4 linked regions of the Arabidopsis thaliana genome follow. The protein of the gene in region 1 interacts with the protein of each later gene in a pairwise test. Each region holds a gene or a part of one and is shown in the gene's direction. Other genes may lie near its edges. The genes, in order: bZIP52, AT4G37850, GIS and NFXL1.

Region 1 (5,475 bases):
ACCATCATCAAGAGTGGAGTTGAAGCAGACAACACCAGTCCAATTCGAATTGCACGGGTCTCCATGCTTCCAATTTCTCAATCTATGAACAGGATCGTTCAAACTTTCTTTGATCACTCGCAAAGCCCTCACTAAAACCAAAAAAAACATCAATGATCAGTACCAAATCAGTCGAAAGCTAAGAAAACCCATTGTCACAGACACAAATTGTCTGAAGATCTAACACCAAAGACAAAGCCTTTTAACAACAACAACAACAAAAAAGAAACCTTCAACGGGATTGGTGATGTCGTCTTGAGCAAAAGTAGAAGAAAAGCAACAGAAGAGGAAGAAGAAGAGCAGAGGTATGAGGAGACGAGAGACATGATGGGTCGAAAACATATCGAGAGAGGAGGAAACAGAGGAGACCCAAGGAAAAAACGAAATCTCGAGAGAGAGAGAGTTTAGAAGGAAAAGGCCATGACCAAGTAAGAAACACAAGACAAAGAAAGAGGAAAGTAGTTGGTATTGGGTGGGAGCATTGAAGAGTGATAATACGACATTTTCTAAGTTTGACTATTTCAGGTAATGGATGAGACCGACGGAAGAGCGTCATCATAAGTTTCCGTTGCGCCGCCGCCATAACTTCACCACCTTCTTCCGTCAAAACCATTCTACTTGCTATTTTTCTTCCTTTGTTTAATGATTCCTTGTCTGACCTGTCTTTGACCTTTTTGTCGTTTTTTTAATCCTTTTTTAATGACAGTAGGTAAATCTCTTGCCAGGTGCGATGAATTTCCAAATATTGTCAATAAAGTTACCTTTTTATCCCACCTTGATTTTTTTTTTATGTATTAATTAAAATTTAAAAACGTATACCATTAGCAAATAGTAGCAATCATTGGTATATTGGAATCATATAGTATATGGCAATTTGGTCATCGATATCGTATCTTTATGTGCATTTTGGCCCCCACGATACTAAAAGTCACGAAATTTTCCAAAGTATCGACTTTTATTGGAAAATGGTGCTGATTATCAACTGATTTGTAGAAGTGTGATTAATTACCTGTAGTCATTATGATTTTCTTGAACAAAAAAAGAAGAAACAGAAGATGTATGTCACTATGTCGTATCATTACGAGAGGGAAAAAAAAGAAACAGCTGGAATAAATTACTCAAATAAGAAAAGAAATACAATGGGCACTATTAAAAAGCATAGACATGAGCTATATATTATTTATGTTTAGAGAAGAACTTTCCAACAGAATTTGGTTTTAAAAAATACCCGTTAGGTGACAATAAATGGGAGAAACTATATCTTAAGTATGTTCATTATTTATATATAAAAAAAGGGAGAATCACAATTCACAAGTATGTTGATAAATAATAATAAAACAAAAAAAAAAAAGACAAAAGAAACTTTAGCTGGTAAAAGTAAGCATCATTAGGTTTTTAATTTGAATCACTATTAAATGATGCCGGTCCACTACTTGCGTTTAAGACAATTTAGAGAGACTTAACTAAAAAACTTATTACTTAAAGCGATCAATACGACCATCTTTTTAATTATTTTGACCGGTAAACAAAGTGATGCCCAATTGCCAATTTAAGAGAAGGCCCAAAACATCCTCCTGTCCACTACAGGCGCATTATATGCTCGAGGATTTCTTAAAACAAAACAATACTTGTCTTCTTGTATGGGCCTGATAATTAAGGCCTCCGTATGATTTAGATCCAACCAATAAGTATTTTTCACTATAAGTGAATTTTACTTGTTTCCCAATCCATAGATAGTTCCATACCAAGTTACCAACTTATTATCCCACAAAACATTCTCTCAGACTCTCAGTTCATACAAGGCTTTCTGCCTATTTTTTACTTGTTAAAATTTTGACTCAAAGATACAAAAATATACACTCAGACGTGGGGAGATGTAATGCCATAACAGCTTAAATTAATAAATTTCGTTGAAGCAACTACAGAATCTTGTAATGAATGCTACAAAGAAGATTTAAAGTTAAACAAATTTAAATCATGAAATCGAATAATTAAATAAAATACAAAGAAAAAGGAAAAAAAAATAAAAAAAAAAGGGAGGGAGACAAGATGCTGCGATGGTTCACGTGCCAATGTGCCTTTTACTTTTCATCAACTAGTTTTCTTTTTAATTATTAATAAATCAACTCAATTTCGCAATTTTATAGTTAGTGACGTCACTTCTCTCTCCTCACAGAGTCGAGTTTCTCTCCTACGCTCTTCATTTCATTTCATTTGATAGAGAGAGAGAGAGAGAGAGAGAGAGAGAAAGAGCTTCGTCTTCTTCATCTCCATCATTATCTCCATTGACATTGTTCTCAATTGCGAATAATAATCATAATTATTCACACAACCAAAGCATTCATCTCTCAGATTCTCTTAAAAAAATGGAGAAATCAGATCCTCCACCAGTCCCAAAGCCCGGCGCCACTATTATCCCCTCCTCCGATCCAATTCCTAATGCCGATCCGATTCCATCTTCTTCCTTCCACCGCCGATCTCGCTCCGACGATATGTCCATGTTCATGTTCATGGATCCCCTCTCCTCCGCCGCACCACCTTCCTCCGACGACCTTCCCTCCGACGACGATCTCTTCTCTTCTTTCATCGATGTCGATAGCCTCACCTCTAATCCCAATCCCTTTCAAAATCCTTCCCTCTCCTCCAACTCCGTTTCCGGCGCTGCTAATCCTCCTCCTCCTCCTTCCTCTCGTCCTCGCCACCGTCACAGCAATTCCGTTGACGCTGGATGCGCCATGTATGCCGGTGATATCATGGACGCTAAGAAAGCTATGCCTCCTGAAAAACTCTCTGAGCTTTGGAACATCGATCCCAAACGCGCCAAAAGGTCCTTCTTCTTCTTCTTCAAATTTGTTTCTCTTTCCACAGAATTGAAGAATTGCAATGAAATTAGGGATTTGATTACAGGATTCTAGCGAATCGACAATCTGCAGCTCGATCCAAAGAGAGAAAAGCTCGATACATTCAAGAACTTGAGCGCAAAGTTCAATCTCTTCAAACCGAAGCTACCACTCTCTCTGCTCAGCTTACTCTCTACCAGGTTTCCATATTCGGCGATTCCTCGTTTGATCCCAACAGAATAGGAAAGTTCTTTCCTCTGTTTTACATACATAGACAGATCTTGATTTCAATGTTGTTTTGATTGATCCAGAGAGACACAAATGGACTAGCAAACGAAAACACAGAGCTGAAACTTAGGTTGCAAGCAATGGAACAACAAGCTCAGCTTCGTAATGGTAAGCACAAAAAAAAAAGAAGCTAATTTCTTTGTATGCATTTTGGTGCATTTCTTCAATATTTGCTTTTTGATGTTACAGCTTTAAACGAAGCGTTGAGGAAAGAAGTTGAAAGGATGAAGATGGAGACAGGAGAAATCTCTGGTAATTCAGATTCGTTTGATATGGGAATGCAGCAGATTCAGTATTCTTCCTCAACTTTCATGGCTATTCCACCATATCATGGCTCAATGAACCTCCATGATATGCAGATGCATTCTAGTTTCAATCCTATGGAGATGTCCAATTCTCAAAGCGTGTCGGACTTTCTACAGAACGGCCGAATGCAAGGGCTGGAGATTAGTAGCAATAGCTCAAGCTTAGTCAAATCTGAAGGACCTTCTCTCTCTGCTAGTGAGAGTAGCTCTGCCTATTGACGACAAGATTATGATGAGGCTCATTTTTCTGTTAATAGGTTTTTTTTTTTTTCAATTCATTTGATTCACTTTTGATTATTTATTCTTTCTTTTTTTTGAGGTGCCATTGTGCAAGAAAGGACGTACGTATACATTTGTGTTGGTTATGTGTCGTGAGTTTCGTTGTTTGCTATTCCCATTGTTTGTTCTTCAAGGAACAAAGGAGACTAATAAATTTCATTTTTCTTTTGTATACAATGATGTTTGCTACGTTTTGTTTTATTTTACTAGGAGATGGAGATGTTTAATAAGTTCATTCCAATTGGGTTAATAGTTTGATTTTGGGATCAATGATTTTGATACGACAACACCAAGGCAGTTCCTCAGTAGCTTCTTCTCCAAGACACCCTCACATCCGTCATCCCATTAGAGTTTTGAGACAACTTCTCCCAACCGGACTTCTCCATGAGACAAAATTTCCCAAACTTGGAGTCGGAGTTGAAATGAGAGACGAAGCATTGAGAGATTAGTTTTTGAGACTCTGTAAGACTGTTAACGAAAATATTCGACCTTTGAAAGACATCTAACACGATTCAACCTTTAAGCAAAGACCCATTGTTGGAGAGAACCAACAAAAGTTCCAACCTTTCCAAACTGAGCTAGCAAGAACAATAGAACATGCATAACAATAAGAACGTGGAGAGTTTAGAACATTGTTACCATGTTATCAGACGAAACATCTACTCTCTGGACTGTGGACGTCCTTGGAGAAGCTCGGTCTATTTCGCAAAATAACTTCCAAAAAAAAAAGGAGAGAGCTCAGAATGGGGCAATATCAACTGATATTCAGTAGAATGCATTGGACCCAACCAATGCTAAAGCCAATTTCTTCACAGCTCATGCACCAGCCGGGAATCGAACCCGGGTCTGTACCGTGGCAGGGTACTATTCTACCACTAGACCACTGGTGCTTTGATGACAATTGTTTTGTTTTAATATCTGATATACAATAAAACCACATTTAAACCAATAGGCCCTATTTGATGGCGATACGTAATTTTATTTTTTGGGCTTTTTCATCTTTTGCCAGTGGGAATTTGTGAATTGTGAGTGTTTGTTTCTAACTTTCTATGAAATCGAAATTTGAGAAAATTGTGAGAAATTCAAGAGAATACATGTAAACTAGGGTTCAACAAGTAAATTGCCCCCACAAAACTATGCCAAAAAATGAAAAAACAAAACAAAACATGCCGATAGACAAATTCTAATCCGTATGAAGCCTCGATGTATCTTGAGCACAATATAAATATTTGATTAAATAGAAGCATTTGGGAAGACAACGAGAGATTAGTGTTTGGCTAAAAGAAAAAAAAACGAAACAGAATCCATTTTGTTAATTAGGTTGTGGTCAAACTCAACCCAACTAAGTTAACGACTAATTATTTAAAGATAATACTGATTAATTAAGAAATATCAACGAAGCTTCGGGCGAACCTTAAGAGAGAGATGACGTATGTGCTGCGGTCATTCACTTTCTTTATAGTTTTCCACATACACACTCCTGCGCCCGGTCCCAGAGCCTTTACCTTGTTACGTCTCTAGTTCATAACTACATGTCTACCATGTATTATAGGGATATCAAAATGGTCTATACATGATTCATTATTTCATATATCTAGGTTATATATTATTTTCTTATAGTTGATTTATAAACACCAAAATATCTTTAGCAAATGTTAATATGTGACAACTGACAAGAAACATAGGTTGTGCTAATGTCTTTACTTTAAAATTCAAATCGGCTT
Region 2 (5,418 bases), on another chromosome or scaffold:
CTACAGCAAATCCATCAATTATAGGGCCAATTGCTATATATTTATCAACCAACACATAATGGCAGAGAAGATAATAATAAAAATTGTTCAAGTCTCACTAAAGTGTTTCTTACATGACATAATGCAAAAGCTTATAATAAGGTTTCTCTATTTTTCTGTATCTACTGTTTGATCTCTTTGGTTTCAATTTTAGGGTTTTGACTTCAAAAACTAATTATTCTCTCACGTTACCCAACGATACGGATCCAGGAAACTATTTAGAATTAGATCTTGAGAAATGGACAATAAGATTTTAAAATTAACAACCTAATCATCATGTATGTGTACTTGGAGCTTTAGAAAAGGAATAATATAAGGGCCCCTAATATTAATTATTATTTATTTTTATTTTTGACGCCAACTTATCAGATTTTTTTTTTTATGCAGAAGTAAAAAAAATACACTAAATTTTGTTTGCAAGAGCCAAGATGCTTATATTTCATGGGATGTACTGTCTTGGTGATGTGATATAGTAATATAGTGATATAGATCCAGAAAACTGTTAAATATTTAGATGCTTTGATACCATATCAGGAATCTTCAATCTTCTGTAACAAACTCTTGAGAGAGAGAGTGAAAGAGAAAGAAGAAAAAGATAGAAACAAAATAATCGTCTATTTGTAAATGTGTACAATGTACTGTATATATACTCTATCACATTTTATACTATAGAGTAAAATATACTCATGATAATATTATAGTTAATTTAGTATTTAGATCTTGAGAAATGAAATACTATATAAAAATATAAAATTCGAGGGATTTAGTATTAAATTTTTATGGAGATTTGTAAAACACTGAATTTGGTTTGCAGGCGCCAAGATGCTTCTGTCATGGGGCGTAGTAATGGAGGAAAAGAGGGAGAGATCTAGTTGTAAGTGAACTGGCTTTTATTTCTATTTTAGTACTTAGATTATAATATCCCAAGTATATTTTGTTTACCTAGCTTACCATTTCTATGAAGTTCAACAATTCCGACAAATACTTGACTTAAAATATCAACTTTACATAAAAGAGTTTCATGTTTGATTGATTATTTTTACCTAATCGATTATATATTAAGAGTAGCACGTTTGCACAAGACACAAGACACATGAGTTCCAGGAAAGTAAAAATTATCTTAGTGTCGATCACTTGTAGTATAATGTTTGAATATTCTGATTGAATAAAATATAAACTTTTGTGATTTTGTTTGTTCATAATCGAACGTCTTTGACAGTCATGGTGATTCACACATTTAATCAAACTGTGTATAAAAGATGAGAGCTTTTAGAAGAGAACGCCAATGGTTAAATTCAAATCATACTTTAATCTTTTTTTTATTGTTGAATTTACAATTTTCTTGAAAAAAAGAAAATTCGTGGAAATAATTAATGTCGTAACCAATACCATATAATATACCATAAAATCGTAGCGAGATCTTTGGTTGGTGTCACATTTTTAGTTTACAAGAGAAAAGTATAAAACTAATGGGAATATGTATTAGATTATATTCAATTGGACCCACAATTTGATTATGGAAAGTTTCCTGTCATCTTCTGTCTATTTTTGCTTATCATAAGTTCGCTTATCATAAGAAATTTATGAAAATTAATCATGAATGCTTTCCTTTTATTGGTTCTTCAACAACATACATATTCAGATAGTGAGTGAAGGACACTTTAGTATAAATTACTTGACTATATATATAAGTTTATTACTCAGTAATAATAGCAGAATTTGAATACAAGCTTTCTATATACAAATGTTTTTACAATTGGCCAACAACATTTTGATGCGCGTCATAAGGTTTAATATTTTTATATGATGTTAGAAAATATTTTTTTGAACAGTTTTGATTTTTAATTGGTTTCATATTCGCATACCACACCTGATACATAAATTCATGTCAAATTTGGATGCATTTTGAAAAATGTATTTATGGAGAAACTAATATTTTTTTAAAAATAAAACCAAGGGAAACAAGATGAGTAAACATATATCAAAACAAAATAAAAATTGAGGCGATTTTTTTTGTTTCTAAGAAGAAACCCTAAAAATACACTTAATAATATAAACTCAAAAACCTGATATATTCAATAGACGAATACCCTTTTTGTCTCCGGCCCGCAACATTTTTATATTCATTCAAATAGGACCTCAAAATACTGTATACGTCAATGAGTAACTTTGAACAACCTGTGAAATTTGACAAATATAAAACAATCTATAATATAATTAATTAGTTTTGACACCCAAATGCTGTGAGAAAAAAGGAATATTTTTAGTGTGAAAGTTGAGTAGTATTGCCTTTCACACGTGCAAATTACTTCATATGTGTGTCCATCTCTATATATACATGTACATATATGCATGTGCATTCCACTGTTTTCACACACAAATCTCTCTTCTCTCTCTCTCTTCTCCTAGAAGCTGGTGAGTTTTATTTCTTTGTGATTCAAAAAACATAAATCTCAACCCTTACTAAATGTTTCTTGATCTTGGGTTTTTACTATACGTCAAATCTTGTATTTGAAACCCAAGATGATCTGCTAATTTATCTTTTTTCTTGGTTAAATACAGTTTCTTGTTTATAAATCATACACTAATATTCTTTTTACCATTTTCAGATTTTCAGAGGCAACAGCAATGAGTATCTTATCCACAAGATGGTTTTCTGAGCAGGTATATATGCGCATAAACACATACACTCATGTATATATGTTGTCATCTGGGACTGTTTTTCATTGTTTTTTGTTCTTTTTTCTTTTGGGTGTGATGTTATATTTTAGGAAATAGAAGAAAATAGCATAATTCAACAGTTTCACATGAACTCAATAGTGGGAGAGGTCCAAGAAGCTCAATACATTTTTCCACACTCTTTCACGACCAACAATGATCCCTCTTATGATGATTTGATCGAAATGAAACCACCAAAGATCCTTGAGACAACTTACATATCACCTTCTTCTCATCTTCCTCCAAATTCAAAGCCCCATCATATTCACCGTCATTCTTCCTCAAGAATTCTCTCTTTCGAAGATTATGGTTCAAATGATATGGAACACGAGTACTCTCCCACCTACCTAAACTCAATCTTTAGCCCAAAATTAGAGGCTCAAGTGCAACCACACCAGAAGAGTGATGAGTTTAATCGAAAAGGGACCAAGAGGGCTCAACCGTTTTCAAGAAACCAATCCAATGCTCAGGATCACATAATAGCCGAAAGAAAACGTAGAGAGAAGCTTACTCAAAGATTCGTAGCTCTTTCCGCTCTAGTTCCTGGCCTTAAAAAGGTATACATACCATCAGATCTTCCTTCTTGATTACCTTTTTCAAAAAAATACATGTTTTTGAATCTATAGGTGTAATTTTTTTCTAATTGCGTGCATAGATGGACAAGGCTTCTGTGTTGGGAGATGCATTAAAGCATATAAAGTATCTCCAAGAAAGAGTGGGAGAGTTGGAGGAACAGAAGAAAGAAAGAAGATTGGAATCAATGGTTCTTGTGAAGAAGTCTAAGCTGATCTTGGACGATAATAATCAATCATTCTCTTCTTCTTGTGAAGATGGCTTCTCGGACTTGGATCTTCCCGAGATCGAGGTAAGATTCTCGGATGAAGATGTTCTAATCAAGATCCTTTGCGAGAAGCAAAAGGGTCATCTTGCCAAGATTATGGCCGAGATTGAGAAACTTCATATCTTGATAACTAATTCAAGTGTATTGAATTTTGGACCAACTCTTGATATCACCATTATAGCTAAGGTATGCAAATGTATATTCAGGCATACACTTATACATATAAATGAAGAACTTGTTCTTAATTTTAGAGTAACATCGCTTGATGTTTATTTTTCAGAAGGAGAGTGATTTCGACATGACACTCATGGATGTTGTAAAGAGCTTAAGGTCTGCTTTGTCGAATTTCATATGATTGTATTAACTTTCATGCTTCTCGTCAATTTCTACTGTGGGAGATCTTGTTGAACACATGGACGAAACATAAGTGGTTTGCCATGAAAATGTTTTTTTTTTTTTATAAGTTTGATTGGAGGTTTTCTTATCTGTTAATTATCTATAATTCTATATATAAATAAGATTAAATTAGTTGAAAATTCACTTCTCTTTTTTTCTCTATTTGGTTCTTTCCCCCTTTATGTATTATATTGCTGTTTCCAAAGATGTAAAGCACTTCCGTTTATGTATTTGTATTATATGGTTTATATTTTGTAAGTCTGTTCAATCTTATACCAAATCACTAAAGTTTGTAGTAATAATTTTTTGGGAGGAGTTAGAGCAAGTTATTGGTGCACAAAAATTTAGAGCAATTTATATTGAATTTGATTGATTACTGTCATTATGAGTAAGAGTAATTTGAATTCAAAGTAACATATGGTAAATTAGCACTGTCAAATACAACAAAGTACCCAGTCCAAGACATTCTAGATTCAGAAAATCATAATAAAAAAAAAAATTATCACTTGGATAATCAAGGCAAGGAATGCGGCATGACGACCAAGTCTTTCCTTCCGTGTTAGAGAACAACAAGGATAATCATAGGATACTAACAAAGTTGGACAAATCGTGGATTCGGAAAGTGGATAACTATCCTTCTCTTTCTTTCAGCTATAATAAAAATATTATATCCGCAATGCGAAAAATGAACAATTATGGTTTCACATTTCACAAAACAATAGATAATATGTGTACATATGCATATATACAAACACTATATCCAGGTGCAAAACGTCTGAATCGTGTATATATAATATATATATTACATATTATTGCAACGGAACTAGACAAAAAAGGGTATTTATGATAATATGATCCAGTGAAGATTATGTGAATCTAGCTCCAGATTTATTATATATACACGATTCAGACGTTTTGCACCTGGATATAGTGCCAATTAGAAATTAGAAATTGATGTTTAGTTATCTTTTGTTTGGTTCAAATGTTTAGTTATCTTTTTATACGACATATATGTGCCAATTAATCGCTAACTTATTACTTTCTACTATTACTAGTTTGAAATAAAAAGAGAAAACGATTTATACGTTTCAAAAGTCCAAACTAACCATAGTTGCCTTTAAGCGATCTAACCCCATTGGGGTGGATATAAATTGACGTACATGTCCTGAATATTCTTATGTTCAAATTAACAAACTTATGAATTGATTTTCAAAACAATAAAGTATTTCTTTTTCCCAAAATGGCATCGAAAATTTTGACACCTTCCTACCATTCATTTCCTCTAAGAACATTTCAAAAACTTTGTCTATATCTAGGATTTTTTATAATTATGATATATCCTTAGGAATAACAACTTCATAAGTGGTATTTTAGTAGAGCGCTCCTTGATAAATACAACTGTAAATAGCAGTGTAAGATATAAT
Region 3 (5,094 bases), on another chromosome or scaffold:
ATTCAGATCTTGGATGAAGTATAAAACCGACGGATATAGCAAACAATCTCCAAAGATAAATGATGGTCCGAGGCTTCGAAGCATGTGCAAAAGAAGTTCTAGTTTCAAGTTCAAAATTTTTCAATTATGTAATTAAATGATGTTAAGTTTATATTAATGGCTAGACAAACTAATTTAATGCCAAAAATTATTAAAAGTGGAAACTGAAAAACTAAACAAACTTTTAGATGTCCCCCAACAAACTATAAAACTATAATATATATATATATATATATATATGTAACATTGTCGTAGATATTGCTTTAGAAGAGGTTTCAGTTTGATTATAATGCCAAAGTACATAAATTGATTAGACCTTTAAAGCTCTAGACTAAAACCTTATTCAATCTCTTCACCAACACGTGTCATCTTAGTCTACCTCACATTAATCTAAAGGAACACTGTTATTTACGGTTTCTATTCAACAGCTAAAGCCCACCGAGATACTTTCTCTGCTCGCAGCTACATGGGTCACAAATCGGATCTATGCAATCAAATGGTGTTGTTGCACAAGTTGTTTGGTTCTCTTGAAATTTTATAAAGTATACATTTTGATGTGGTTTGCTGGATGTACTAGCAATCTTCTCTTGTATTCATGCTTATGCTCTCGATGTAGACTAAACTGGCGCATTTGTTTATACTTTATATATTTTATAATTTATGTAATAAAAGAATTTTTTTATGTGATGTTATTGTTTTTATAATTCTTGTCACATGAAGGCGATGAAAATTTTGCTTTCTCGTTTAGTTTGCTATTAAGATGACCTTATTATTGTTGTGTGCTTTGGGATATCTAAACCGATATTTAAATTTAAGTATTTTTAAAATCGAAGTTGCTTTATTTTCTTTTCGTCATAAGGGTTCGTATCATTTATAGAAGATTCTTTTTAGATTAAGGCTTGGAATCGATTCCCCTCAACTGTGTCACTTTTTTTTTTTTTTTTTTTTTTGCACACACTTTTATGGCAAAAAAGAAAACCGAATTTCTATGAGCCGGGGGAATGAGTCAAGAGTTCAGTAAACCAAGAAAAGAGAAATGAAAGAAGTAAAAGCTGGTCCCTAAAAGAGAATTCTCTTCGAACTATATAAATAGTAACATCCGGGTACATGTGTGATCAGTGAGTACACACCGACCCCCACGTACGTTCGTAATGAACCCAATTCCCTGATAACTTTCACCTAGTTTTAGATTTTTTTTAGTTACTTATCATAAATTTTACCATGACCCATTTTCTGCTCCATAAATGTTGTACGTGTCTGTTTCATTACTACAGTATTGTTTATTTTTTACAATTGTTTTTAAAAAATAAATTGAAACGGGTCTTTCATTTATTTAGATCAAAGGTTGTCCAAGAGTTTTAGAAGAGCGACGACATCACAAAAATTTGTTTCATGATCAAGATCCCGTGGGCAAATAGATCCTTAAAGAATCTAATCCATATGAATCAGAAAAGGTAAAGATTAACGGAACCGAGACAAGACATGATTAATTCTTTTAATAAAAACCAATTTGATCAAAAACTTAAATTATTAGTATCGAAAAGAAAACTGTACCAAACTAACTAATATGTTACATATTATATGTACTACCTAGATTAGGTTGAGAAAGCTATAGAATTTCTTTTAAAATCGAAAAACTGAAAATCTCAATGAAATTGGAATTGAAAAAAATCGTAAGTCCTATATATTAATTAAGTGCACTATTTGGAAAAGCACTTGTGGGAATTTAATAAGAAACAAAAGTAGATATCACAGGAACCAGGCGGAACAATGGTTTTGAAGGAAGTTTGTTGGGGAAATGAATATATACAAAAAAAAACTAATTTATTGCATTTTGTTCAAGGACCTATTTCATTGTGACCAAATTTAGCAAAAAAACAGTGGCATTTTCGTGAACTAGTAATTTTTCAGAGTTTGTCAAAAAAAAAAAAAGTATTTTTTCAGAAAGTATTGTGTACCAGATAAAATTACACAAAATAAACTACCATATTTACGAAAATGCCACCCATCCACTATGTAAATTAGAAAAACCAAAATATGAATATGGAGAAGTACATTTTCTCGGAGAAAACTATATACTTAATTAGTAATTTATCAAAATATGAATACGAAGCTTTTATGTTATGTATTCGTGTATATATATATAATCGAAGTCAATAATTTAACCTCCAACAACCTTGCGTCTGTCTAAGCATCTATCATAGATCATGCATTATAGATCCATAATCTTCATCCGATACAATCTAACACAATTAATTCCACACCGTTAGTGAATAATATTGCGACTTTTACATATAATATTATATTCAATCCGTTCATCATTCTTAAGTCTTAAGAGACCAAGGATAAGCTATCAACCTTTCTTTAGCTCTTTGATAATTAGAAGCTATCAATCAACCTTTCTGACATACAACAAATAGAAAATTTAATGAATTGCCATAAAAAATAAGAACCAATCAGTTTTATATAAATGTTTATCTATCTCTCTAAAGCCTCATAACTCTATATATCGCCCAGTCTTTTTATCTCTCTGACTCTCTCTCTATGGACGAGGCTACCGGAGAAACAGAAACTCAAGATTTCATGAACGTCGAATCCTTCTCTCAGCTTCCTTTCATTCGCCGTCCTAAAGATAAGAACCCTAAACCCATTCGTGTCTTCGGAAAAGATTTCACCGGCAGAGATTTCTCTATTACTACCGGTCAAGAAGACTACACCGATCCTTACCAGACCAAAAACAAAGAAGAAGAAGAGGAAGAAGACCAAACCGGAGACAACAGTACGGACAATAATAGCATCAGCCACAACAGGAGATTCGAGTGTCACTATTGCTTTAGAAATTTTCCTACTTCACAAGCCCTAGGTGGACACCAAAACGCTCACAAACGCGAACGTCAGCTTGCCAAACGCGGTGTTTCCTCTTACTTTTATCATCCTGACAATAACCCTTACAGTTACCGTCATTACCCGTCGTGGACCAATGGTCCGTTAACCGCGGCTAGGTCCTATGGAGGATTTTCTTCTGGTCCTAAGCCGTCGGGGTATTATACACGACCCAGCTATGGGAGTCAGTTAGGACTATGGCGTCTACCGCCTCGCGTTCAAGGCGTTTATAACTCAAACGCAGCGTTTACTAGTAATGGCTCTTCTTCTTCTTCTAATTCGACTTTACCGTTGTTGACCCGTTCTCAAACTCAACTATCATCGCAAGTGGGTGGCTCCGCTGCTCAGAACAGAATGTCATCGTACGGTTACGGATTGAGCCCTAACGTGCAAGATCATGTGAGTCTCGATCTTCATCTTTAAAGATTTGAAAACAAAATAAAACTCTTATTGAGTGTTATGTAACTTAGTGCAAGAAAAAACAACCTAAGTTATTGAATATTACGTAATCTTTAACGATTAGACTTCTTATTATCTATACCTATTCCCTTATTGAATGTTTTGTAAGGTAAGAAACGGCACGATGTGTAAGATTCACGGCATCGATCTTTCTTTTTTTACCCATACGTGCTTGAATGAAGGAAGGGAATTTATGAATTTACGTGTCCACATTTAATATAGCTTCGAACACTATCGTTTTGGTTCAGGGAAATTGTCAGTAATAGACTCATAGCAGTGCTTACTAGTTACTAGGGTATTTAACTATAACCGCACAGTGACTCAGATAGAATTTCAACGATAAAATGATAGAATCTTTACTGTACGGAACTAACAAGTAACAAATACAAAAACAAAAATTAAACCTCTCGAGTACAAATCTTTTTACGAGGGTTTGAAACGAATCTAATGGACACTGTACTCATCGCCATCTCCTTGAAACAAATAAAACTCAAGATGGGTAATAAGTAGCTAGGTAATAATTTTAGATGATGCCAATGATGATAATTTGGTGCGTGTGGGTAAGTGAAGACAATGGACAAGACAAAAGGGTATAGAGAGAAACAAAGTGAGTGAAGTGGTCCATAAACACACAGATGTAGAGTTTACGATAGAGATTTCTCATCTGTACTTAATGTAATTACTATTCTCGTAACTTGCAATTTCGAGTAAGAACATAAAGAAGGAGCTAAAGCAAAGCAAAATTCCTCAAGCTTTCTACTTTTGTGTTTATTTCTTAACTTTTCTTTTAGGTAATCCAAAGAATACCAACAAGACAACAGCCTCTATAGTCTATATATATCTCAATCAATGAACTTGAAAAAAGTTGTGATTCACATACCGTAAACTCCAATTAACAGATGCCACGAGATTGATTATGACGGGTTGGTCCTGTTGCATTCAAAAGGACAAATACAAAACTACTAATGATATCAGAGAATGTCAATGACCCGAAATGGTTTTCAAGACAAAACATGGGAAAATCCTTGTACCTAATTAACCATGTAGTTTATTTTATTTTATTTTTATGTTAAACTATCAAATCAAAACATAAATATAGATGACAACGTAGCTAGGACTTTGATCCAGAAGAACATACGAGTTTCCACATTTGACAAGACTTTAATCAAAGAATATCACAAGCATTAATTCACAACCTCCACCAATATAATGCACTATGCAACAACATGGTGATGGTTACATATATATGGTTTCTTTTAGAAATCAACTAATCTGATTCAATCAAGTCTCCTATGAAAGGAAATGGAAAATGACATGCCAAAACGACATCTTTGGACACTTTATTGAGAAAATGCAGGTAGATGCAACATCGCAAAAACTCTTGCTTGTACTTTTTGTCTATCAAAATAATTGTATTTAAACACGGTATGGCTAAGATATAACTAACATTAGCAATATCAGTGACACCAACCTAAAGCTATAGATAAGTTTGAGAGGCTCATGCAGATAGCGACGTTGCTATTTTCGGACCTGGAGACTTTAGTAGCGGAACAGTCTCCATCAGTTAAACAGGGAAGGGAACAGATGGTGCAACTTCAGCCTGTAGATCATAAGGGAAGTGATAAGGTTTTTCAGATAAATTTTATGGACACGTTTCAACATAAATTTTGCAATAAGGATGTTTCAATTGTCACCAAGAGTAGTAACAAAACA
Region 4 (8,300 bases), 1.2 Mb from region 1:
GAAGTTGAATATTTGGTGCGGTTGGTTAAAGAAAACGCTTCTCCTTCCGAAACAGCTTCTGCATTGCGGGCAGCCAGTATATGTCTTCAAGATTGTCTTAACTATTGCAAAGTGTTGGAACCACAAGGCTTATTTCTGTCTAAGCTATTTTTGGTGCTGTTCCGACCTTATGTTGAAGAAGTGTTGGAGTTGAATTTTAGACGGGCTCGAAGGGTTATCTTTGACTTGAATGAAACTGATGAGGGCTTGGAATCACCCTCTGACTTTGTGACAATATTATCTGAATTCGCTATCGCTTCAGATACTATGATGACTGATTGTAGCATTCGATTCATGCAAATTGTGCAAGTAAGTTGATTTTGAACACTGATCTTACTATTTTCTTTGATTCTGTTGGCATAAATTTATAGAAGCTTTATTTGTTCTTTCAGGACATACTTGAGCAGTTAACACACCTAGTTGTGTTACACTTTGGTGAGAGTGTACTAACGAGGATATTGCAACTATATGATAAATACATCGACTTTCTGATCAAAGCCTTGCCTGGCCATTCAGATGAGGATGGTCTACCTGAGCTCCAAGATAATACCGTACTCGCTAGAGCTGAGACAGATTCTGAGCAGCTTGCGCTTCTTGGAGCTGCGTTTACAATACTTGACGAACTTTTACCAAGATCACTTGTTAAAGTCTGGAAACTCCAGATTGAAAATGGCGGAGGAGAAGGTGAGAATAGTGCCGCTCTAAACAGTAGTGCTGCACCGGAACTGAAAGAATGGAAACGCCATATGGTTCAAGCATTTGACAAACTCAGAAACTACTTCTGTCTGCAGTTTGTCTTGAGCTTCATCTACTCTAGGGAAGGACTAACGCGATTAGACGCACTCATTTATTTAACCGAAACACCAGATGACTTGCATCTGCCGTCTTTACCGTTTCAGGTCTCGCCCTCTTCTTTGATCTAGTTTTATAGTTCCCAGTTTATAAGTTTTAGCACACAGAATCATCTGTGTCTGTTCTTATGCAGGCATTGTTTTCTAAGCTACAACAGTTGGCCATAATTGCTGGGGATGTTCTGCTTGGTAAAGAGAAGCTGCAAAAGATTCTACTAGCGAGATTAACAGAGACGGTTATAATCTGGCTATCAAACGAGCAGGAGTTTTGGAGTGCATTCGAGGACGAGTCAAATCCACTTCAGCCATCTGGATTGCAACAGGTAGAAACACTCTCTTTCACCACTCTTATATACCTCAGCTATTCTCTGATCTCAGGCTCAGCAGTCAAAGATTGAAAATTTGAAATGGGAAACAATTGAAACTTGATGTTGAAGTTCATTTCTTGAGAAGATTGGGGTTGAAAGTTGAAGTTTTGTTGTCACGTGTTGCAGTTGATCCTCGACATGAACTTCACAGTGGAGATAGCCAGGTTTGCAGGTTATCCATTTAAAGTAGTTCAGAACCATGCATCAGTGGTGATCAATCGAGCCATCAACATATTCTCGGAAAGAGGCATCAACCCACAAAGGTAATTGAAACAACACTCTTTTTGAATTTTCTTCCAACTCGGTCTCAACATAACGAATTACCTAAAAAGTGTATTATTCTCTTTCACCAGCTCACTCCCGAAGACAGAGTGGTTCACAGAAGCCGCCAAGTCAGCTATCAACAGGCTACTCATGGGGTCTGAGGATGCTTCAGAACCGGAAGAATATGAGTGTGAAGAAGAAGAAGAAGACGATCATCACATCGTCCTCCCTGAGATGGATGACGACTCAGATTCCGAAGATACATCTTCACTCTCCACAGTGGACTCGTTCGAGTCATTTGCCTCTGCAAGCATGGCTGACCTAGAGAGTCCATCTTTCACCGATTCTGAGTCTTGACCACTTTCTTTGTAGTTTGTATCCTGTAGTCAAGTCTCTCAAAACTCTCAAGTTAATATATATAAAGTTAACCGAAATCATCTGCAAATTAAATTACTGGTTTAGATTGGTTTAAGTCAATTAGTATAGGCCCATTGTTAGCCCATTAGGGATGAGGCGGTTCTTGAGGGTTTGTCAAGCATAAAATAATTCAGACAAGCCGGTGAAAAAGAAAAGTCGTACGCGACTCTCTCTCTCTATCTTTTATTTCCTTTGGGAGCAAGGCGGTCTATCACTTTCAGTCGCTATATATAATCTTCCTCATCGCTCCATTTTCTCCTACAGTCTCTTTCTCTCTCTCCCTGAGAAAACAAGGGAGACTAATCGGAATCTCCTGCGTATTTGATTCTTCCGGCGATTGTTTCCTTCTTTATACGCTTTCGTATATTCTTGTCAGGTACCAAACTTTTTCCCCCTCTTTGGTTGTGAGCTTCTAATCATTTGTTTTATCGTTCTCTTTGATTCAGCAATATCGAAGCCAAAATTTGTGTGTTGGTTGGTGTTGGTCACCAAAATTTCTTAGATATGATAAAATAGGGCACTTTGATTTTACCCCCTTTTTTAGATCCCAAAGAAGGAGGAATAGTTTAGGCGTCTTGCTATCAATTTTCGATTCGTTTGATTTGGCTTTAGTTAATTTCAACATCGTTGTAGCTGTGTAAGATTTTATTGTTACGTAGATTGGTTTGCTCGTATTTTCGTGTGTGGTGAATTTATCTGGGCCATCAATGTTTGACATTGCTAGAATCTGAATGTTTCTCATTTGCTTTTCTTTTTGTACAGAAGCACCATTGCTCCAACAGTGACGGGTACAGGATCTAGTTCTGTGTTTGTGGAGTCAAGGCAGAATATGAGCTTTCAAGTCAGGCGAGATAGGAGCGATGATAGGTCTCATCGATTCAATCATCAGCAAACGTGGATTCCTAGAAACTCATCTACCTCGAGCGTGGTGGTAAATGAGCCTTTGCTTCCTCCTAATACAGATAGAAATTCTGAAACCCTTGATGCTGGTTCTGCATCCCGTCCTGTTTATCTGCAAAGGCAGCATAACGCTTCTGGTCCTCCGTCCTATAACCACCACCAAAGGAGTAGTAACATTGGTCCACCTCCACCTAATCAACATAGAAGATATAATGCGCCTGATAACCAGCATCAAAGGAGTGATAACATTGGTCCACCTCAACCTAATCAACATAGAAGATATAATGCGCCTGATAACCAGCATCAAAGGAGTGATAACAGTGGTCCACCTCAACCTTATCGACATAGAAGAAATAATGCTCCTGAGAACCAGCACCAAAGGAGTGATAACATTGGTCCACCTCCACCTAATCGACAAAGAAGGAATAATGCTTCTGGAACTCTGCCAGATAATCGCCAAAGAGTTGCATCTAGGACGCGGCCTGTGAATCAGGGGAAAAGGGTAGCGAAGGAGGAGAATGTTGTGTTGACAGACCCAAACTTGCCTCAACTTGTTCAAGAGTTACAGGAGAAGCTTGTCAAGAGTTCTATTGAGTGTATGATTTGTTATGACAAGGTTGGGAGGTCTGCCAATATCTGGTCATGCTCCAGCTGTTATTCCATCTTCCATATCAACTGTATCAAGAGGTGGGCTCGAGCACCAACTTCAGTTGATTTGCTAGCTGAGAAAAACCAAGGTGATAACTGGAGATGTCCAGGTTGCCAATCTGTACAGTTGACATCATCTAAAGAGATTTCCTATCGGTGCTTTTGTGGAAAGAGAAGAGATCCACCGTCTGACCCATATCTCACTCCACACTCATGCGGGGAACCATGTGGGAAACCGCTGGAGAAAGAGTTTGCACCTGCTGAGACGACTGAAGAGGATCTTTGTCCTCATGTATGTGTTTTGCAGTGTCATCCTGGTCCATGTCCTCCCTGTAAAGCCTTTGCTCCACCTCGTAGCTGTCCTTGTGGGAAAAAGATGGTTACTACTAGATGCTCCGAGCGGAGATCTGATCTTGTTTGTGGGCAGCGTTGCGATAAGCTTCTTAGTTGCGGGCGTCATCAATGTGAAAGGACATGTCATGTTGGCCCTTGTGATCCTTGTCAGGTACTGGTAAATGCCACATGTTTCTGCAAGAAAAAAGTGGAGACTGTCATTTGCGGTGATATGAATGTGAAGGGGGAATTGAAAGCAGAAGATGGTGTCTATTCATGCAGTTTTAACTGTGGGAAGCCTCTTGGATGTGGTAATCATTTCTGTTCCGAGGTATGCCATCCTGGACCTTGCGGGGACTGTGACTTACTGCCCAGTAGAGTTAAGACATGCTATTGTGGGAATACGCGTTTAGAAGAACAGATCAGGCAGAGTTGCTTGGACCCAATTCCTTCTTGTTCAAATGTATGTAGGAAGCTTCTTCCTTGTAGGTTACATACTTGCAATGAGATGTGCCATGCAGGTGATTGCCCGCCTTGTTTAGTCCAAGTTAACCAGAAATGCCGGTGTGGGTCAACATCCAGGGCTGTGGAATGCTACATAACAACTTCCTCAGAGGCAGAGAAGTTTGTGTGCGCTAAGCCATGTGGACGTAAGAAGAACTGTGGGAGACATAGATGTAGCGAGCGTTGCTGCCCTCTCTTGAACGGGAAGAAGAATGATTTATCTGGCGATTGGGACCCACATGTCTGCCAAATACCTTGTCAGAAGAAGCTAAGGTGTGGGCAGCATTCCTGTGAATCTTTATGTCACAGTGGACATTGCCCTCCTTGTCTCGAGATGATCTTCACTGATCTTACATGTGCTTGTGGAAGAACTTCGATTCCTCCTCCACTATCATGTGGGACACCTGTTCCTAGCTGTCAGCTTCCATGCCCGATTCCTCAGCCTTGTGGCCATTCTGATACGCATGGATGCCATTTTGGAGATTGTCCTCCTTGTTCTACCCCTGTGGAAAAGAAGTGCGTTGGTGGTCATGTGGTTCTCAGAAACATACCCTGTGGGTTGAAAGACATTAGATGTACCAAGATTTGTGGAAAGACGAGGCGTTGTGGCATGCATGCTTGTGCCAGAACTTGTCACCCGGAGCCTTGTGACAGCTTCAATGAATCTGAAGCAGGTATGCGTGTTACGTGTAGACAGAAATGTGGTGCTCCTAGAACAGATTGCAGACACACTTGTGCAGCACTCTGCCATCCTTCTGCGCCTTGCCCTGACCTAAGATGTGAATTTTCAGTCACAATTACTTGTTCATGTGGTCGTATAACCGCTACGGTCCCTTGTGATGCTGGGGGAAGAAGTGCCAACGGTTCTAATGTTTACTGTGCGGCCTATGATGAAGCCTCTGTTTTACAGAAGCTTCCAGCTCCACTTCAGCCTGTTGAATCGAGCGGAAACCGTATCCCCCTCGGGCAGAGAAAGCTTTCGTGTGATGATGAGTGTGCGAAGCTGGAGCGTAAGCGGGTTCTTCAAGATGCATTTGATATAACTCCCCCAAATCTGGAGGCATTACATTTCAGCGAGAATTCTGCTATGACAGAGATTATTTCAGACCTTTATAGGCGTGATCCAAAGTGGGTACTGGCTGTTGAAGAGCGCTGCAAGTTCTTGGTACTTGGGAAAGCAAGAGGAAGCACAAGTGCCCTTAAGGTCCATATCTTCTGCCCGATGCAGAAGGATAAACGAGACACGGTTCGACTTATAGCTGAGAGGTGGAAACTTGGTGTTAGCAACGCAGGGTGGGAGCCAAAACGGTTTACAGTGGTTCACGTAACAGCAAAATCGAAACCGCCAACAAGGATCATTGGAGCTAGGGGTGGTGCTATCTCGATAGGAGGGCCACACCCACCGTTCTATGATTCGCTGGTGGATATGGATCCTGGACTTGTGGTTTCTTTTCTGGATCTTCCGAGAGAGGCGAATATCAGCGCCTTGGTACTGAGATTTGGGGGTGAATGTGAGCTTGTTTGGCTGAATGACAAGAATGCTTTAGCGGTGTTCCACGACCATGCCCGAGCTGCCACTGCCATGAGGAGGCTTGAGCACGGTTCAGTATATCATGGAGCTGTGGTTGTCCAGAGCGGCGGGCAATCTCCATCACTTAATAATGTATGGGGAAAATTACCTGGCAGCTCGGCGTGGGATGTTGACAAAGGAAATCCATGGAGGAGAGCTGTGATTCAGGAGAGTGATGACTCCTGGGGAGCTGAAGATTCCCCCATTGGAGGATCATCTACAGATGCTCAAGCCTCTGCGCTGAGATCAGCAAAGAGCAACTCTCCAATTGTTACCTCGGTTAACCGTTGGAGTGTTTTAGAGCCCAAGAAGGCCAGCACATCCACTTTGGAGCCAATTGCTCAGATAGAAGAGAGCAGTAGTTCAAAAACTACCGGTAAACAACCGGTGGAAGGCTCCGGTGAAGAAGTGGTGGATGACTGGGAGAAGGTATGTGAGTGAGAGCATATACCCAACGACTGTGATTGGTTTTCAACTTCTTTGTGATGTATGAAAACGGCAGATTGTTCAGACGTATATAATGGAGACTGTATGCGTGTGCGTATGCTGTGATGAGTCCATTTCAAAGCTTAGGTGATAGCCAACGACGTGCCGTTTTTGTTTTGGCATCTTTGGCGTGCGTTTGGTTTATTTATGTAGTAACTAAAAAAACATCCCATTGTTCAGTAACTTCAGTTATTGTGAAACGGCATGTTTGTAACGCTTTTTTTTTTCTCTTTTATTCTTGACATAATGATGCAACACTAAGGTTGGTTATTCATTCATTAGTACTCTTTATCTTGAAATCATTTTCTCCTCTGCAATTAACGGTTAGGTGCTGAAATCATTAGGAATAGTGAAAAAAAAACTCTTTTATGTGTCATATTCTTTTTTTTTTTTTTTTTTTTTTTTTTTTCATAAATTTCCAATAAAACGAAAAAGGTTACAAGGCTTAGAAGGCCATACAACAGGCACGCAGGCCCAGAGAAGGCACGCAGGCCCAACAACTAACAGAACAAGAAAAAACCGAGAACCTGAATCCCAGCGACGAGGCCCAGAGAGAACCCAAGGACGACAAGATCTCAGCAAAACAAAAGGAGAACAACGCTGAGCCAACAGAGGACCTGCAAAATAAACTCCACATTAACCAGAGACAGGTGAACGCTGAAACACTCCAAACCACGAGGCAAGAAGAGAAGAGCCTGGCTGAGAGACGACGCGGGAAGACCGAGACAGAGGGTCCAACCTAGCCCTAACGATAAGCTGAATTTCCTTGATGATCAAATGAGCTGGTCTAACAGAATTTGAGTGAATGCGAAGATTGCGCTCACGCCAAATGAAATAGACAGAAGCGTGGAAAAGGAGCTTGGTGATGAGCGTGATGTTCCTGTCTCGAGAAGCAGTCAAGGTCCAAAGCAGACAGTGCATAAACTGAGGAGGCGGATTGAGGTTTAAGGCTCTCATGAAGAAGCTCCAAATCTCTGAGCTAAACTGACACCGAAAGAAAAGGTGTTCCCTAGACTCATCAAGGTCATTACACAGAACACAAGTGGGCGGGATAGAGAAGCCCCATCTCCTTAACCGGTCCCTAGTGTGTAATCTGTTGTGGGCCACAACCCAACAGATGAAAGCTTGTTTCGGAACATGATCCTTAAACCAAACCGCCTTATGCCACAGAACTGAAGTACTAGAGGGCTGAAGGTAGCTCCAAGTGTCCGCTGTAGAGAATCTATTTGACGGTGCATGATGACCAATTTTCCAAAGGTAAGTATCATCATGCGGACAATCAATTAGACTCGCAGCAGAAGGAAGAACTCGTTGAAGCAAAGTGATTACCGGATTGCGGCTTCTACTAGAAGAGATCCTCCAGGTATCATCGCGGAGAGCATCTCTGACAACCGAATTTAAAGGCAGGCCGGCTAAGAGAGGACCAGCAGGACCAGTCAGGTGAAGGAGAGGCCCATGATCAGTCCAATTATCATGCCAGAAACTAGCAGTCACCCCGGATCCAACCTCACAAATGATGAAAGGACGAGCAAAAGGTCGTAGCTTGCACAACTTACGCCATATCCAGCTGCCAGACAGAGAAGGATTAAGTTCCTAGAAGTTCCGGCGCCCAATGAGATGCAGTCTAACCCAGGAAACCCATAGAGAACCAGCAGAGGTGAAGAGAAGCCAAATAAGCTTCAGAGCAAGAATTCTGTTCCAGGAGGAGAGGCGCTTCAAGCCTAGCCCGCCAGCCTCTTTAGGAGAGCACACAATGTTCCAAGAGATTTTTGCTCCTCTAGCAGAGTTTGGAGCTCCAGACCACAGGAAAGCATTACACATTTGCTCAAGTTTTTGCAGGCACTGATTGGGGAAGATGAAGACAGAAGCCCAAAAATTTATTGTAGAATAAATAACAGACTTCAAAAGCTGAAGGCGACC

Evidence for each region.
Region 2: the proteins of bZIP52 (region 1) and AT4G37850 interact in a two-hybrid assay, tested with the Arabidopsis thaliana proteins (one large-scale study listed by BioGRID).
Region 3: the proteins of bZIP52 (region 1) and GIS interact in a two-hybrid assay, tested with the Arabidopsis thaliana proteins (one large-scale study listed by BioGRID).
Region 4: the proteins of bZIP52 (region 1) and NFXL1 interact in a two-hybrid assay, tested with the Arabidopsis thaliana proteins (one large-scale study listed by BioGRID).

Annotation. Positions count from the first base shown.
Region 1 is NC_003070.9:2,102,828-2,108,302, forward strand, and holds bZIP52 (basic leucine-zipper 52), read left to right. Parts: upstream 1-2,220; 5' UTR 2,221-2,405; coding exon 2,406-2,866; intron 2,867-2,946; coding exon 2,947-3,079; coding exon of another isoform or gene 3,080-3,181; intron 3,182-3,190; coding exon 3,191-3,275; intron 3,276-3,356; coding exon 3,357-3,691; 3' UTR 3,692-3,922; downstream 3,923-5,475. Other genes in the region: AT1G06840 (Leucine-rich repeat protein kinase family protein), read right to left, coding at 1-131, 270-381.
Region 2 is NC_003075.7:17,794,897-17,800,314, reverse strand, and holds AT4G37850 (basic helix-loop-helix (bHLH) DNA-binding superfamily protein), read left to right. Parts: upstream 1-2,413; 5' UTR 2,414-2,454; intron 2,455-2,610; exon of another isoform or gene 2,611-2,648; 5' UTR 2,649-2,667; coding exon 2,668-2,703; intron 2,704-2,810; coding exon 2,811-3,314; intron 3,315-3,412; coding exon 3,413-3,784; intron 3,785-3,878; coding exon 3,879-3,953; 3' UTR 3,954-4,243; downstream 4,244-5,418.
Region 3 is NC_003074.8:21,505,096-21,510,189, reverse strand, and holds GIS (C2H2 and C2HC zinc fingers superfamily protein), read left to right. Parts: upstream 1-2,450; 5' UTR 2,451-2,583; coding exon 2,584-3,345; 3' UTR 3,346-3,618; downstream 3,619-5,094. UniProt on the Arabidopsis thaliana protein: Probable transcription factor required for the initiation of inflorescence trichomes in response to gibberellin (GA). Mediates the induction of GL1 expression by GA in inflorescence organs and is antagonized in its action by the DELLA repressor GAI.
Region 4 is NC_003070.9:3,331,960-3,340,259, reverse strand, and holds NFXL1 (NF-X-like 1), read left to right. Parts: upstream 1-2,175; 5' UTR 2,176-2,315; intron 2,316-2,701; 5' UTR 2,702-2,768; coding exon 2,769-6,323; coding exon of another isoform or gene 6,324-6,335; exon of another isoform or gene 6,336-6,396; coding exon 6,397-6,471; 3' UTR 6,472-6,665; downstream 6,666-8,300. Other genes in the region: AT1G10180 (LOW protein: exocyst complex component-like protein), read left to right, coding at 1-348, 432-938, 1,025-1,213, 1,385-1,521, 1,612-1,879. UniProt on the Arabidopsis thaliana protein: Mediates E2-dependent ubiquitination. Confers resistance to osmotic stress such as high salinity. Promotes H(2)O(2) production. Negative regulator of some defense-related genes via an salicylic acid (SA)-dependent signaling pathway.